Drosophila melanogaster: one gene and its partner. The protein of the gene in region 1 interacts with the protein of each later gene in a biochemical or structural test. Each region holds a gene or a part of one and is shown in the gene's direction. Other genes may lie near its edges.

Evidence for each region.
Region 2: of the proteins of PK2-R1 (region 1) and Hug, one has a biochemical effect on the other in vitro, tested with the Drosophila melanogaster proteins (one study listed by BioGRID).

Annotation. Positions count from the first base shown.
Region 1 is NT_033777.3:13,336,300-13,344,340, forward strand, and holds the start of PK2-R1 (pyrokinin 2 receptor 1), read left to right. Parts: upstream 1-2,030; 5' UTR 2,031-2,268; intron 2,269-3,659; 5' UTR 3,660-3,870; coding exon 3,871-4,348; intron 4,349-4,408; coding exon 4,409-4,574; intron 4,575-5,828; coding exon 5,829-5,961; intron 5,962-6,032; coding exon 6,033-6,231; intron 6,232-7,286; coding exon 7,287-7,510; intron 7,511-7,704; coding exon 7,705-8,041.
Region 2 is NT_033777.3:12,524,264-12,529,614, forward strand, and holds Hug (hugin), read left to right. Parts: upstream 1-1,924; 5' UTR 1,925-2,092; coding exon 2,093-2,176; intron 2,177-3,487; coding exon 3,488-3,767; intron 3,768-4,312; coding exon 4,313-4,524; 3' UTR 4,525-4,813; downstream 4,814-5,351. UniProt on the Drosophila melanogaster protein: Probably has a role in larval molting.

The DNA of each region.
Region 1 (8,041 bases):
ATTTCCAACATGAAATAAAAGCACTTCCCATACACTTTGGCCAACGGGTTGTATGAGTAATGTGAGCTAAGCTGAGAGCGTGGGCTTTTAAGTATCAACTACTCGTAAATAGTATGTAAAGGGATATTTTGTCCCAATAGTTCAATGTTCTGTGCAAGTCAAGGCAAAAGGCCAAGGACTCTCGCGTTTAGTTTAATTGCAACTAATTAGCCACAACTGAAATTACATGACGCACTGAAAAGTGCTATAAGCCACATTCGCAGGGCCCTCATATTGGCATCGTTCAAACAAGCTACGGCGAGCTAATCAGTGACTCTAGTTGTGGCCAAAACATTATCATTGTCATCTTACCCACTGCAATCGTAAATCAAGGCCAGAACCCAAGAGCTTGGACCAACTGCTGTGCCCTCAAAACTGTGGTCGACCCTTTTCGATTAGTATCAAGTTTTCCTTTGTCTCTGGCCCTGTAGGTGGCCTACATGTGTGTCAAAAGACATTATGCTAATCAGCATCACCCGTAGGCCAATTGAATCGTTCAGATTCAGGGAAACACACTAACCACTGGGATAACATGGCGTATACGGTATACTTGTAAAGGTCAATAGGTAAAGCACTAATATTGATTATCCCTACGCTTTCATCATTTACTGTGGAGCTCATGAATAAGCCAGGAAATCGACTTTCAGATTGCGGACAGTGATTATTTGGGCCAACATTAATTTAACGCTCGTTTAATCGCATTTACGGCGGATCAAAGTGCGTGGAAACGTGAACTTTTTTGGTATCTTATTGCTGCACAGGACAAAAACAGAACTATGTTCGTCACATAAACACATTTATTTTCTATTAAAAATGTATTGCTTACAGCATATTAAAGTACATTTTACATTTTTTTATTACTTCTTATTGGGCACTTTTTAAATATATATACTCGTGTAAGAATTACAACATAAAATCTTCAAAGCCGCCCGCAGGAATTTCCTTTATATACACAGGCCTTTTAGCCAGTCTCGAAAAACCTGATTGTGGTCACGCTCCAGCAATTGTGCATATTTACCGCGACCAGACAACCATGCCAAATTGTACTGAAAACTCTACTGCCAGGCGTCTTCTCTTCCCACAAGATAAATATCTTTAAGGCCAGAACAACAGGCGGCTTTTACTGAAAGCGAGGCACACGGCGAACTGACACCAGAACGGCGGAGGATAATGAAAACAAATCCACAAATCTGCGGACAAGGGCCGACATTAATATGCGGTTCGGCATTCTGTTGGTCAGCGGGAAATCAGGCCTCATGTACTGCAAAACAAACACATTTATTTTCTTACTTTATGATGTACAAACGGCTTTGATTTCTCATTTGATTCTCTGACTCTGAGGTCGGAGAGAAAACAATTGCGACGGTCGCCTTTGGCAATAAGTATTAAAACTAAGTGCCAGTGCTTTTGGGCCATTTGCAATTTCAATTAGCCCGGCGCTACGAGCGATTCAATTGGTTCGACTGCCCCTTATGGCTGCGCTCTATTAAACCGGATGCCAGCGACATTACTCATCCGACAAGTAAGCCATAACTTACGGCGACTGAGAAGCAGACGGAGTCAAGGTGAAGTGCATGAATTTATGAATGAAATTAGGACCGAATGTTTGTGTCCCTCACACAGTCGCAGAAAGGCAGACAAACGCGGAGAGCCAGATGGCTAAGAACCGCTGTTAGTTAACATTTGGCTAACAGAAACCGTCGACAAGTGCCACGATTGCCGCAAGGCAACTCAGTCTTTCACGGACTTTCCTTCAAATCGGACGTGTGCGATTACGAAAAAATTATATTCGAACCAAACAGATCCGTGAAAGTGAAAAGAAATATAAAATATTATAAAATATATTAAATAGTGCACAAAAAATGTAAAACTTATTTTCTGCAGAAAATAATATTATAATGTATTTAAATGAATTCTTCAGTGGTTCAATAAAAGTCGCTCAAAACTCCCAAGCCATTTTCCACTGATTAAATATGTCTCAATGATTGGCTAGCAAAGTGCAAAACTAATTTTCCGTTCGGTGAATTCGTTTTATTGAAAGCACAAGGGTTAACAAATCCCCAGGCGGAAGTTCTTAAACGTTTCACAACAATACAAAAAAAAAGAAAAGGGGTAAAGAAACACACACCTTGTGCGACTCAAAAACGAATAAGGATACGAGTTGACAACAAAAAAGGAGACATTCGCGTAGCAAAAGAAAATACACTTTTGTTATTTAATCTAGCCTTGGTAAGAATCAACAATCATGTCGATGGCAATTTATTCAGGACCCAATCTGTTTGGTTCTCGGAATTTAAAAAACTCTCTTTCCCATTTAATAAAATTGCTTACCTTTGGCAAAGGCAAAGCTTAATTACAAAATGTTAAGGCATCGTCCGCATGGACAGCTGGGCAATGCAGCTAGATTGTGGTTTAAACTCATTCTCCAATCGAAATTGAATTGCAAACCCTAATATGGTCCGCGTGGCATTGCGTTGCCTGATTGGATTGTGTAGAAGCGATCGGAAGCGCACATTTGTACACAGACTCTGAATTAGCCAACGACTCCCAGTCCACCGACTCTGTGTCCAATCATATCTAAATCAACTTTTACACCTGAATTGGCAATTCAATTATTTTTCCAATTAGTTGGCGTCAACAAGATGTCGCTGTGATGCTGACCACTCAAGGTTCGTAGGCTCACTAATTGCGTAGCATACTTTCCGGGGCTTTTAAAACGACTATTCGCAAGAAACAACACTAAACGAACCGGAAACATTATTAATTAGACGTATCAACCAAATTTCTGGCTATAAGCCAATAATCCAACTTGGCACTAACAGTGACTTGGTGTTCCGTTACTTGGTCTTTGACTTCTTACCCCAGAATATGATTCTTGGCAGCAGGAGAAACCAGTACGACTTGTTTTGGTCGTATTATGAGTGAAATATTACCACTCATGTCATTTTGAACGTCTTTAAAGCTCACACCCTTATGGACCCATTATAAGAATATGGCGTGGCAAAATTTCCCATTTTTATCGAGGCTGGAAAAACTTTTCCACACATGCAATCATGTTTCGTTTCACTTATCATGGCTAAAACCTAGCAAATAGAAAAAGTTTTTTTTTATCCACAAACATATCTGTATTGAGTGCCAGCAATCTGTATTGCTTTAGCTTAAGATGTTTACTATTAATAGAGCCAAGTGGCAAATGACATACGGCTTACAGAGAAAATAATTTCCAATTCAATTACATTTACGTACATATATTCCTTCCTACAAGCAGACAGGATTATTGATCTAAATATAAATAAATATATAATAATTATTTTAATAATATAATATTAAAATGTAGATTAACAGAATATATTTTTTTTGTATGAAAGCCTCTAGGGTATTTGTGTGACTTTTTTCTCTCTGCATAAGTGAAGATGTTTACTATTAATAGAGCCAAGAGGCAAGAGAAAAGTGGCAGCAATCAAGTGCTTTTATTTCGGGACTGCATGTTAAAGGCGATTTCCTGATCGAAGACTTTGGATACCTGATGCCATCCGTCTGAATGTGACGTCAGCCTGGCTGGGGATTCAATTTAAATTCATCCTTGAGTCTAATGACTTTTAATGTTGTTTGCTTCACAGGCGAGTGCGCAATTTTTGGGCCTGTCGTCGACTGCTTATCGGCTATGTGCCACCGCAGCCGCAAAGGATACGACAGACAATATTAATAACGCATTGATACGAGTGGGCGGCCGATTTGCTTTTGTTTTTCTTTCCCAACTTGGCGGTGGAAAGGAGTGGTGTGGCGTGGCGTGGAGTGGATAGAGTCCACAATTAATCGACGACAGCTAGTATGTTGCAAGGCGTCGCCATCACCATAGCCAACGACAGCAACGATGATGGCATCAATCAATCATTCATGGCTCATGTGTCGCCCAGTCCCAATCAGAGTCCCTCCATTGGAGTGGGCATCGGTATCGCCTCATCCACAATGGCGAATCCCAGCGAGAGCCCCGAGATGTTGCTGCTGAAGAACGACAAATTCCTAACACATGTCGCCCATCTGCTGAACATAACGACCGAGAATCTTTCAAATCTCCTGGGTTCCACGAACGGCACAAATGCGAGCACAATGGCAGCGGATTCGCCGGTCGACGAGTCCCTGACCCTGCGAACAGCCCTCACCGTTTGTTATGCACTCATTTTTGTGGCCGGCGTGCTGGGTAATCTTATCACCTGCATTGTTATATCGCGAAATAACTTTATGCACACGGCCACCAATTTCTATTTGTTCAACCTGGCGGTTTCCGACTTAATACTGTTGGTCTCAGGTGAGATGGCATTTTTGAGGGACACCATTGCGTATGCGTAATGCGGCAAATATCCTGCAGGCATCCCCCAGGAGCTGTACAACCTTTGGTATCCGGATATGTATCCCTTCACGGACGCCATGTGCATCATGGGCAGTGTGCTCTCGGAAATGGCCGCCAATGCAACGGTTCTCACCATCACAGCATTCACTGTGGAGCGATATATAGCAATCTGTCATCCATTCCGGTGAGTTTTTAACATTTAAACGTTATATATATTTTAAATATTTATTTACATTATTAAACAAATGTATAATTTCTTCAGTGTTATTGCCTCGCTCTCATTAACAAAGTGGATCATGCATAATTAGGACAGAGAATATGAATAGATAAATTAAACTTGATAAGCGTCAGTCGGAAACATTATGATATGAAACAACAAAAGTACCTCACAAATTATGGGCACAATAATTATTCATAACTAAACAGTCTGGCTGTGGAATGATAAAACAAGTTAGGCTTGACAACCAAATTCCCATCGTTTTTAAATATACCAAATTCATTAGCTTTCATTTATAGACACTAATTAAAGTCAGGTCCATAAATGAACCAAGTTCATTACAGACTATGTAATTAAGTTCCAATAAATGCGTTGTAAAGATAGAAAGTTAGTTAGTCAATTAATTGCTTAGTACCAACATATTTGCATTTTTGGAATGGTACAACAAAACTTTTCCTTATACAGGTATCACCAGTTCCTTCCAAATGTTCTGACCATTTTGCGGTCAAAGAATACAACAGCTTCCTTAAGCGAAAGCGTCTGGTTTTCATTTACGATGTTGCATTTCCTTTAGTTCAGAAACTCTTGAATAGCTAGAAGAAATGAAACTTAAAAACCTTACATTGTTGTTTTCAAACACAATTTCCGTTTCTTAGCATTTTTCACAAATTAATTGTTACGAATACAATCACTTGGAGTATGTCCTTAAGAATATGCAGACACAAAAGGGTGGTTTTCTATAAGAAGGGATTCCAAGTCCGATTACAAAGTTAAGGCAAAAAACTTTCATGTCTCTGAAGTTGGGATTAAATATTGTTGTCGAAAAGAGTAAAAGGTTTCTATGTTTGCCATTTAATAGTATTATAGTTATTTTGAAACGAAAGGATATTCGGACATGTGCTTAGCATGAAAAAGGTCTGAAACCCATTGCAGTCACTTTACCAAAAGAAGTTAAAAGTGATGTCTATTAAATTTGGTATGAAACTGTTTGAATTCCTTCCCATTTACACCCACATTCAAAGTAAATATTTATGTTGCACTCAATATCCCAAACCTTAAAGAGAAAGTTAAAAAGCGTAAAAAGTGTAGGTGGTCACTGCGTGTACTTTACAACCGTAATATTTTCCATCTTATATCTGCCCACGTTTATCCGAAACATCGACATCATCTTGTCCTTAATACTTAACATATAATGTAGCCTAATCTTTCCGTCATTTGTAGGCAGCACACCATGTCAAAATTGTCGCGAGCCATTAAATTTATATTTGCCATTTGGCTGGCGGCCTTCCTTTTGGCCCTTCCGCAGGCCATGCAATTTTCGGTGGTCTACCAGAACGAAGGATACTCGTGCACGGTGGGTGGGACTGAAATGTGAAAACCAACTGACGCATCATCGAGTGTCCTTTTCGCTGTTTATTCCCTTAGATGGAAAACGACTTTTACGCCCATGTGTTCGCCGTTTCGGGATTTATTTTCTTCGGTGGACCCATGACGGCGATTTGTGTACTGTACGTGCTGATCGGAGTGAAACTGAAGAGGAGTCGACTGCTGCAATCGCTGCCGCGAAGGACTTTCGATGCGAATCGCGGCCTAAATGCCCAGGGACGAGTCATCAGAATGTTGGGTAGGTGAGTTAAGTTGGCGGCTTGATTGATTAAAGACAGCAATATGCCCCACCGCCAACCAGAAACAACAAGAACATCCACGGCTGTCAAAACTTTTTCCGCCGAAAGTCTTAAATTGAAAATTACTGTCAACGTATTTGCGTTGGCGAACATCAAACAGGGAATTCGTCATAGCCCCGCCCTCATTGCCTTCCGCCCACTTCATTTGCACTTGCGTCATGTGGGCTGAACGTGCTTCTGTTTTTTTCCCTCTTTTCCCTCAACGGTGTCGTTAATTTTTCGCAAACATCGGTGCGTATGTGTAAAGCTCTTAAATGGCCATCTAGCCTATGAAGCAAAGGTGAAGCCAGGTGTCACCTCAAAAGTAATCAAGCCGGGGCACTTAAATGAACTCAAGACTGCTGGGTGCACACAGCAAGCTTAAATATTTGTAAAAAGTGTTTCTTGAATCTATAGACATATGTCCGTTAACGTGCCACGTTATAAGCTGTTAAATTTTAAAGGAATTCAGCACACATCTCGTGTATTATTCACATATTTTATTTATATAATTAGAAATTCTTATCAAACCATACAGTGAATAAATTTAAGTGTAAATCCAGGCCCAATTTTAGATCCCAATAAGCCGTTTTTTCTTACAGCCTACGAAACAACGTTTAATTTACTGTTGCTTTTAACTGAAACACCGACCATTGATTTCGAAATTTACCATTGGCCCTGGCCTGCCAAATGGAAATTGATGGACCAATTCAGATTAAGCCCAGAGCCTTAACCATAAATTAATTTGGCCAGCAAGAGTGGAAAAAAAACACACCCGTTCTCAGGGCTTAGTTATTCATAGATAGTGGGATATTATTTATCGTTTGCTAAGAGGTAATACCTTGGCTTTTATCAAAATGTGATATTTTACCAAAGGCCCGTTTGCGCAAACTATTCGATTTCGGGGGATATAAAAGATTAAGACCACTTTCAGTGTGAGAGAGCCCCTTTTCCGGTGACCTAGTTGTTCAGGGGTCTTAATACGTTGCTTATCCTTACTTGACCGTATTTGCAGTAGCTGTAGCCGTCGCCTTCTTCCTCTGCTGGGCTCCATTCCACGCCCAGCGACTGATGGCAGTTTACGGACTGAATCTGATTAATATAGGCATCAGTCGGGACGCCTTCAACGATTACTTCCGGATACTTGATTACACGTCCGGGGTGCTCTACTTTCTCTCCACCTGCATCAATCCGCTACTGTACAACATCATGAGCCACAAGTTCCGCGAGGCCTTCAAGGTAAGCCCATGGGATCAACCCTTCTCAGTTAACCACTTCATAATAGTAATCTATTATTAATTGGGTCCTTCGCATGTTTGTGAGGACGGTCACAAATGCAGATGCTTTTAAAGTTAAATTTAAGCTTTAATTATTCAAAATTGTTTTTCGTAAATTAATGAATTGGTAATCTATGTATTTTTTACACTTTTAAGATCACTCTGACGCGACAGTTTGGTCTGGCCAGGAACCACCACCACCAGCAGAGTCAGCACCACCAGCACAACTACAGTGCCCTTCTCCGCCAGAATGGATCAATGCGTCTGCAGCCGGCCAGTTGCAGTGTAAACAACAACGCGCTGGAGCCATATGGATCCTACCGAGTGGTTCAGTTTCGTTGCCGGGATGCGAACCACCAATTGTCCCTGCAGGACAGCATTCGCACCACCACCACAACCACGACGATAAACAGCAACAGCATGGCAGCCGGAAATGGAGTTGGTGGTGGTGCTGGTGGCGGTGGCGGTGGGCGGCGTCTGCGGAAACAGGAGC
Region 2 (5,351 bases), 810 kb from region 1:
TTGAAAGCCCTATGTAATTTGGGTTTCATCCTGCAGGCAGTGAATATTGTAGCGGCAAACTGCCCCAGGCGTGAAATTAACGAACGAACAATTTGTCAGATAGATTTCGAAACAATTTACATTTGACGAAATAAATTGCGCTCTAATTTCATGCTTCAATTTATTAAATATCACATTGTATCAGTTATTTTATAAAATCGCGTTGAACAAGGTCACTTTCCATTTCGACATATCTGTCGGATAAAAAGAAACAATGCATCGAAATATAACTTTGCGTTGGCCGTCCAATTAGTTCACACATATAATCTGTTGATAGATTGAAAGAGAAGAACTACAGTGCAAGGTAATCCCTCAGATACGGGTTTGTCAAATTACATTTTTCGCAACTTTATGGCATTGTTCGTTCCATTTTTTTTTTTTTCTTTTTTCGTCCGTCAAGGATACATTTTCAGCAGTTGGCAAATAGATAAATCCTTCAGGGCCTTGGCTGGAAAAGAGGTCGTCCCACGTACGTAGAGTTAGTAAATAAATAAATGCCAGCTGGGGGTCACCAGGTCGAGTTTGTGTGTGGGTCGTGTCCGGGTCATGTTTGTGTAAATTAGTGGCACAAATAAACACTCGACCAGTAGCTGCAACAGCTGCACGAATGACCATCACGACAGCATCCAGAAAAACACTCGATTGATGGATGGTTGATGTCTGACCAGGGACCAAGTTTAGATAATTGAAAATTCTCGTGATTTGCAGCCAACTGTTATTGAAGCCCGACCACGTGTGCGCAGCTTATGTCTTCCGGGGCGTATGAGAAATTTGATTTGCCAGCCTTCTTGACCCATTCTCGCTTGGCAGCCGACAATCGCAGTGCTCACAATCTGATTTTAAATGCCTGCTGACAGCTCAGTCAGTCAAAGGAGAAGCTTCTTGCCAGCGCAGGTGTGCAAGATGTGTTTGCCCAGCAAATTGAACCTAATGCGGCTCACGGATGGCATTTAAATAAGCCAGCTGCGAAGCTGTGGAGTTCCCCCAAGCCTTTTCCCATCCGCAGAACTGGCAAAACAGGCAAAAACAGGCCCCAAGCTACAGGATACAATGCGAAGACAACTGTCAACATTTAAATAAGATTGATCGATTGGCAGCGTCAACGGCATTGACATTGCCCCCATTGTGGTGGGTGTTGGGCCTAATGCCATCGCCATCGCCATCAGGGGCGTGATGGACTTTACACGCGCTCAGATTTCCATTAAACAGGATGCCCCACGATTACGCTGGATACACTTAAAAGAAAATAATTTGAGAATACCTGTGTCCCATTGCTAAGAGGGCATTTAATCCATATCCATTATTATTATGAATTATATGATTATTCAGAAGCTTTTTATATACGTCATAATAAAAGGGTTTGGTTTAATTTATTTATGTCATACTTTTGACAACCTATCAACTTATATTTAAATCTGCATCTGTGGGTTTATCAGTAAGCAAGCATTTAGCTCGTTTATTAAGCCGCTATAATAAAATATTTCGTGGCTTATCAACGAATACCTGCAACAGTCAGTTTAAATATCATCAGACTAAAGTGATAACCCGGAAATTGAGGTAAAGCCCATATAAAATTCGTATTAAAATGTATTTTTTGATTTTGTTGTAATTTTTCCCACTGCAGACTTTACAATTAGCTTCCCAATTTGAATGCCAGTCACTCATTGAATCCTATTTTTCACTTGCTCTGTGGGCGACAAATTGGTGGCGCTTCCGTTTGGGATTTGCCGCTTGATTCGCTTGTTTACGCTGACCAGCGGGCTGCCTTTTGGCCGGTATTAGAGTGCATAACAAATCACTTAGCACCCGTCCATCAGGGACCTAATCAGGCTCGCATGGGGCCGCTAGCATTTGGCTATATAACTTGCTATCTGCCGCGCTGCTGGCATCAGTTGTCCCGCAAAGCAGTCCCAAAGCGCAACGCGGTTCCATTCGATCGTCCGACTATTAAGTTAATAGTTCCAGCGCTTCCGGAGTGTCCTGTCCTGTCCTGGGAGGTCAGTCGCTCGTAAACGCCAGAAAACACCTAGCAGCGAACACAGTTGGCCCAGTTATGTGTGGTCCTAGTTATTGCACACTGCTGCTAATCGCGGCTTCCTGCTACATCCTTGTTTGCAGTCATGCGAAGTCCTTGCAGGTGAGTCTCGGGCAAAGTGGGAAAAATGTGGTGGTGTTGGTACTGTGGCTTGTTGGCCAAACAAGCGCCACTTAATTAGTGTTATTTGCCCAGGCACAAGTTCGCCAGCTTAGCGTGATAATTTTCAACCAGTGCTGAAATTCTTGGATTTTTGGAACGGAAATTTTGGGGCGAAAAGTTTTCACTTTGACGTGTGCCTTACAGCATTATGTGGCGCACTCGTTTCCCGTCTGTCAACTGCATTTGAAGTGCTACCAATTAGTTTGCAGATACTGCAACTATTTTTTTTTTCTGCCAGCAGGCAATCAATTGGCATCCAATTAACATTTCGGTTGCAATCGCAGCAACACTGCGTATACGTGTTGCGCAACTTATTCTCGCACCACTAATTAAAATAACTTTCCATGCTTGGCAGTGCAGATGTAATAAAACCTAGTAGGCCTTAATTAATCAAAAAGACATAATTATATCAAGTTTATGCATAGTTCATTGGGTTGGGAATTTGTGGTGTTGTATTTGGTTTTAGGTAAATTATATCGTTTGATATCGAATCCGCAAGTGTTTTGTATTAAATTCTGGACATTACAAAATGCTTAGTGTTATTACAATTCAAACTGTAACTATTATTAATTATTTAATTACAAACTTATTCTTTTTCGTTTATTGTCAGGGAATATTATACGAATATGTTTCATAATATTTTTATTTAAACGGGGAAACTAAAAGAAACTAAAGAAATAACCAATAAATTCACGACAGCTACAACATTGCTCTTTTTCATATCAGCTTAGAATATTGCAAAATATATCGACTGTGCTGAGTGTATTCGAAAATGCTGAGCCAAATGAAGGTTTAATATCAAGTATACGCCCACGCAGACATCCGCTTAGAGTGAGCGTTTATTGGCGAATTGCGATTTACAAGCCGATTTCAGGTGTTGGCATTTCAATCTACATTGAGTTGTCTAATCAAGCGGCACACGCTGATCTGCCTTCCATGCCTGGGTGTAAATTGAAACAATAAAGTGCTTGACTCGCACATTCACACTCACATCCATAGACACCCACACGCACACATACAGGCACACCCGCAAGTCGGTTGGAAGGACCTTTATGCGTGTGTGCAGCTCACGTACGAGTATGAGCATAAATAGGCGGCATAAAAATAACTTAACACGTGTCGACAGTTTGGCAGCGTGGGAACCCTCAGTAAAAAAAAACAACATCCTCCAAGGAAATATCTCAAATATTTAGCTCCTTTTTTCGCCTGCTTTTTTGGCCCCTGCTTTTATGGCATTTTTTATTTGTGCAGGGCACGAGCAAACTGGATTTGGGAAATCACATCAGCGCCGGCTCTGCCAGAGGATCATTATCACCAGCTTCACCAGCGTTGAGCGAGGCACGTCAAAAGCGCGCCATGGGCGACTACAAAGAGCTGACAGACATCATTGACGAGCTGGAGGAGAATAGCCTGGCCCAGAAGGCCAGTGCCACCATGCAGGTGGCTGCCATGCCGCCGCAGGGCCAGGAATTCGATTTGGACACCATGCCGCCACTGACCTATTACCTGCTCCTTCAAAAGCTACGACAGCGTAAGTTGCCTATGGACACCTGCTGAAATGTGAAGGATATATGTATGAAGAGGGCAAGTCGCTCTAATTGGTTTCCGAATCACGTTCCCATTTCACGCAACCATCTCCATAATGTTCGCATACTTTATACATAAGCTTTTCCTCATTTTTTGCAGAGAGAAAAACATAATATGAAAATGTTATTTTCATTTAATATGCATGTCGTTTCTTTACTTCACAAGACATTGGCATATTTAAATGAATATTTTATATTCAGAAAAAAAAGAACAATCTCCATACGTAATGACAATACCGTACAAAAGTCCGAGAAATCTGCAATTTTTACTAGAAAAATTCCTTCACAGTGACTTAGGCAATGTTCAATGTTTTTCAAATTGAGTTAACCATTCATTCATTTATGTTATTCAATCATGGAAACTATTACTTATCCAAAGAATGTTGGATACATTTGAACAAAATTGTTTGAAAATTTCGCATTCATTTTTTCCTTATCAAAATGCTTATACATATATTATGAAATACTCTCCCTATTTCCATTTGGACAGTGCAGAGTAATGGGGAGCCCGCTTATCGCGTGCGGACGCCACGCCTTGGCCGCAGCATTGACTCCTGGCGACTACTGGACGCGGAGGGGGCGACGGGAATGGCGGGCGGCGAGGAGGCCATCGGCGGGCAGTTCATGCAGCGCATGGTTAAGAAATCGGTGCCGTTCAAGCCACGCCTGGGCAAACGTGCTCAAGTGTGCGGTGGCGATTGAGTCACGACAAGGGCGCGAGGACATGGCACGGCACGGAATCGGACTGCGGATGGAGGACGGAGGACGAGCCCAGGACAAGGTTGAGGCCAGGCGACTGGCCCTTGAGTTAACATAACCAAGCCATAATGGCCAGCTGAATTCGACGCGACGCAAAAATAATCCACATATATGCATAGTGAATGACTACTCTACTAGTTACTAGCGCTATAACCCTGATTTGAGAGGAACTAATGATGTGTATATACCGTACATATATTTATTATTTATTTAAATAAATTGTGTAGCCCCCAAAAGTAGCGTTGATTTTACATTCCAAATGAGCCGGGAATTAAATAAACATGGCAATTTCATTAACGACCTGCGCTTCCTAGGGTTCTATGTCCACTATACACTATATTGCCATTTTCCAGTTAAATTTATGAGAATTTCATAACCAATGGTAGGGCGCGTAAATTGGAAAAATGCGGCCAACATCCGTTGCCACAAAATCGCCCATGAGTGTTGACCATGGCAACTGCCGTTTGCAGTTGGCCCATGTGTGTGCATTTTGACTGATAAAATATCTTGGTTCCCTTGCCGCGCCCTTTCAAAAACCCAGTGCCACAATTGTGGTCCGGTCAAAAGCTTCTGGCTTTATTTGGCCTGATGAAGCATAGAAAATTGTGCGGGGCTTGCAATGAATGCGGAAACGGAAACATTTTATGAATGCTTTTTCAGTGGAGAACTTTAATTTAAAGTATCCATGTTCTGAGGCTTTTATCAAAAGTAACTACCTCTTTATTTTACTTCCATAAATGCAATAAATAATTCGATGCTGTGCATTGAAA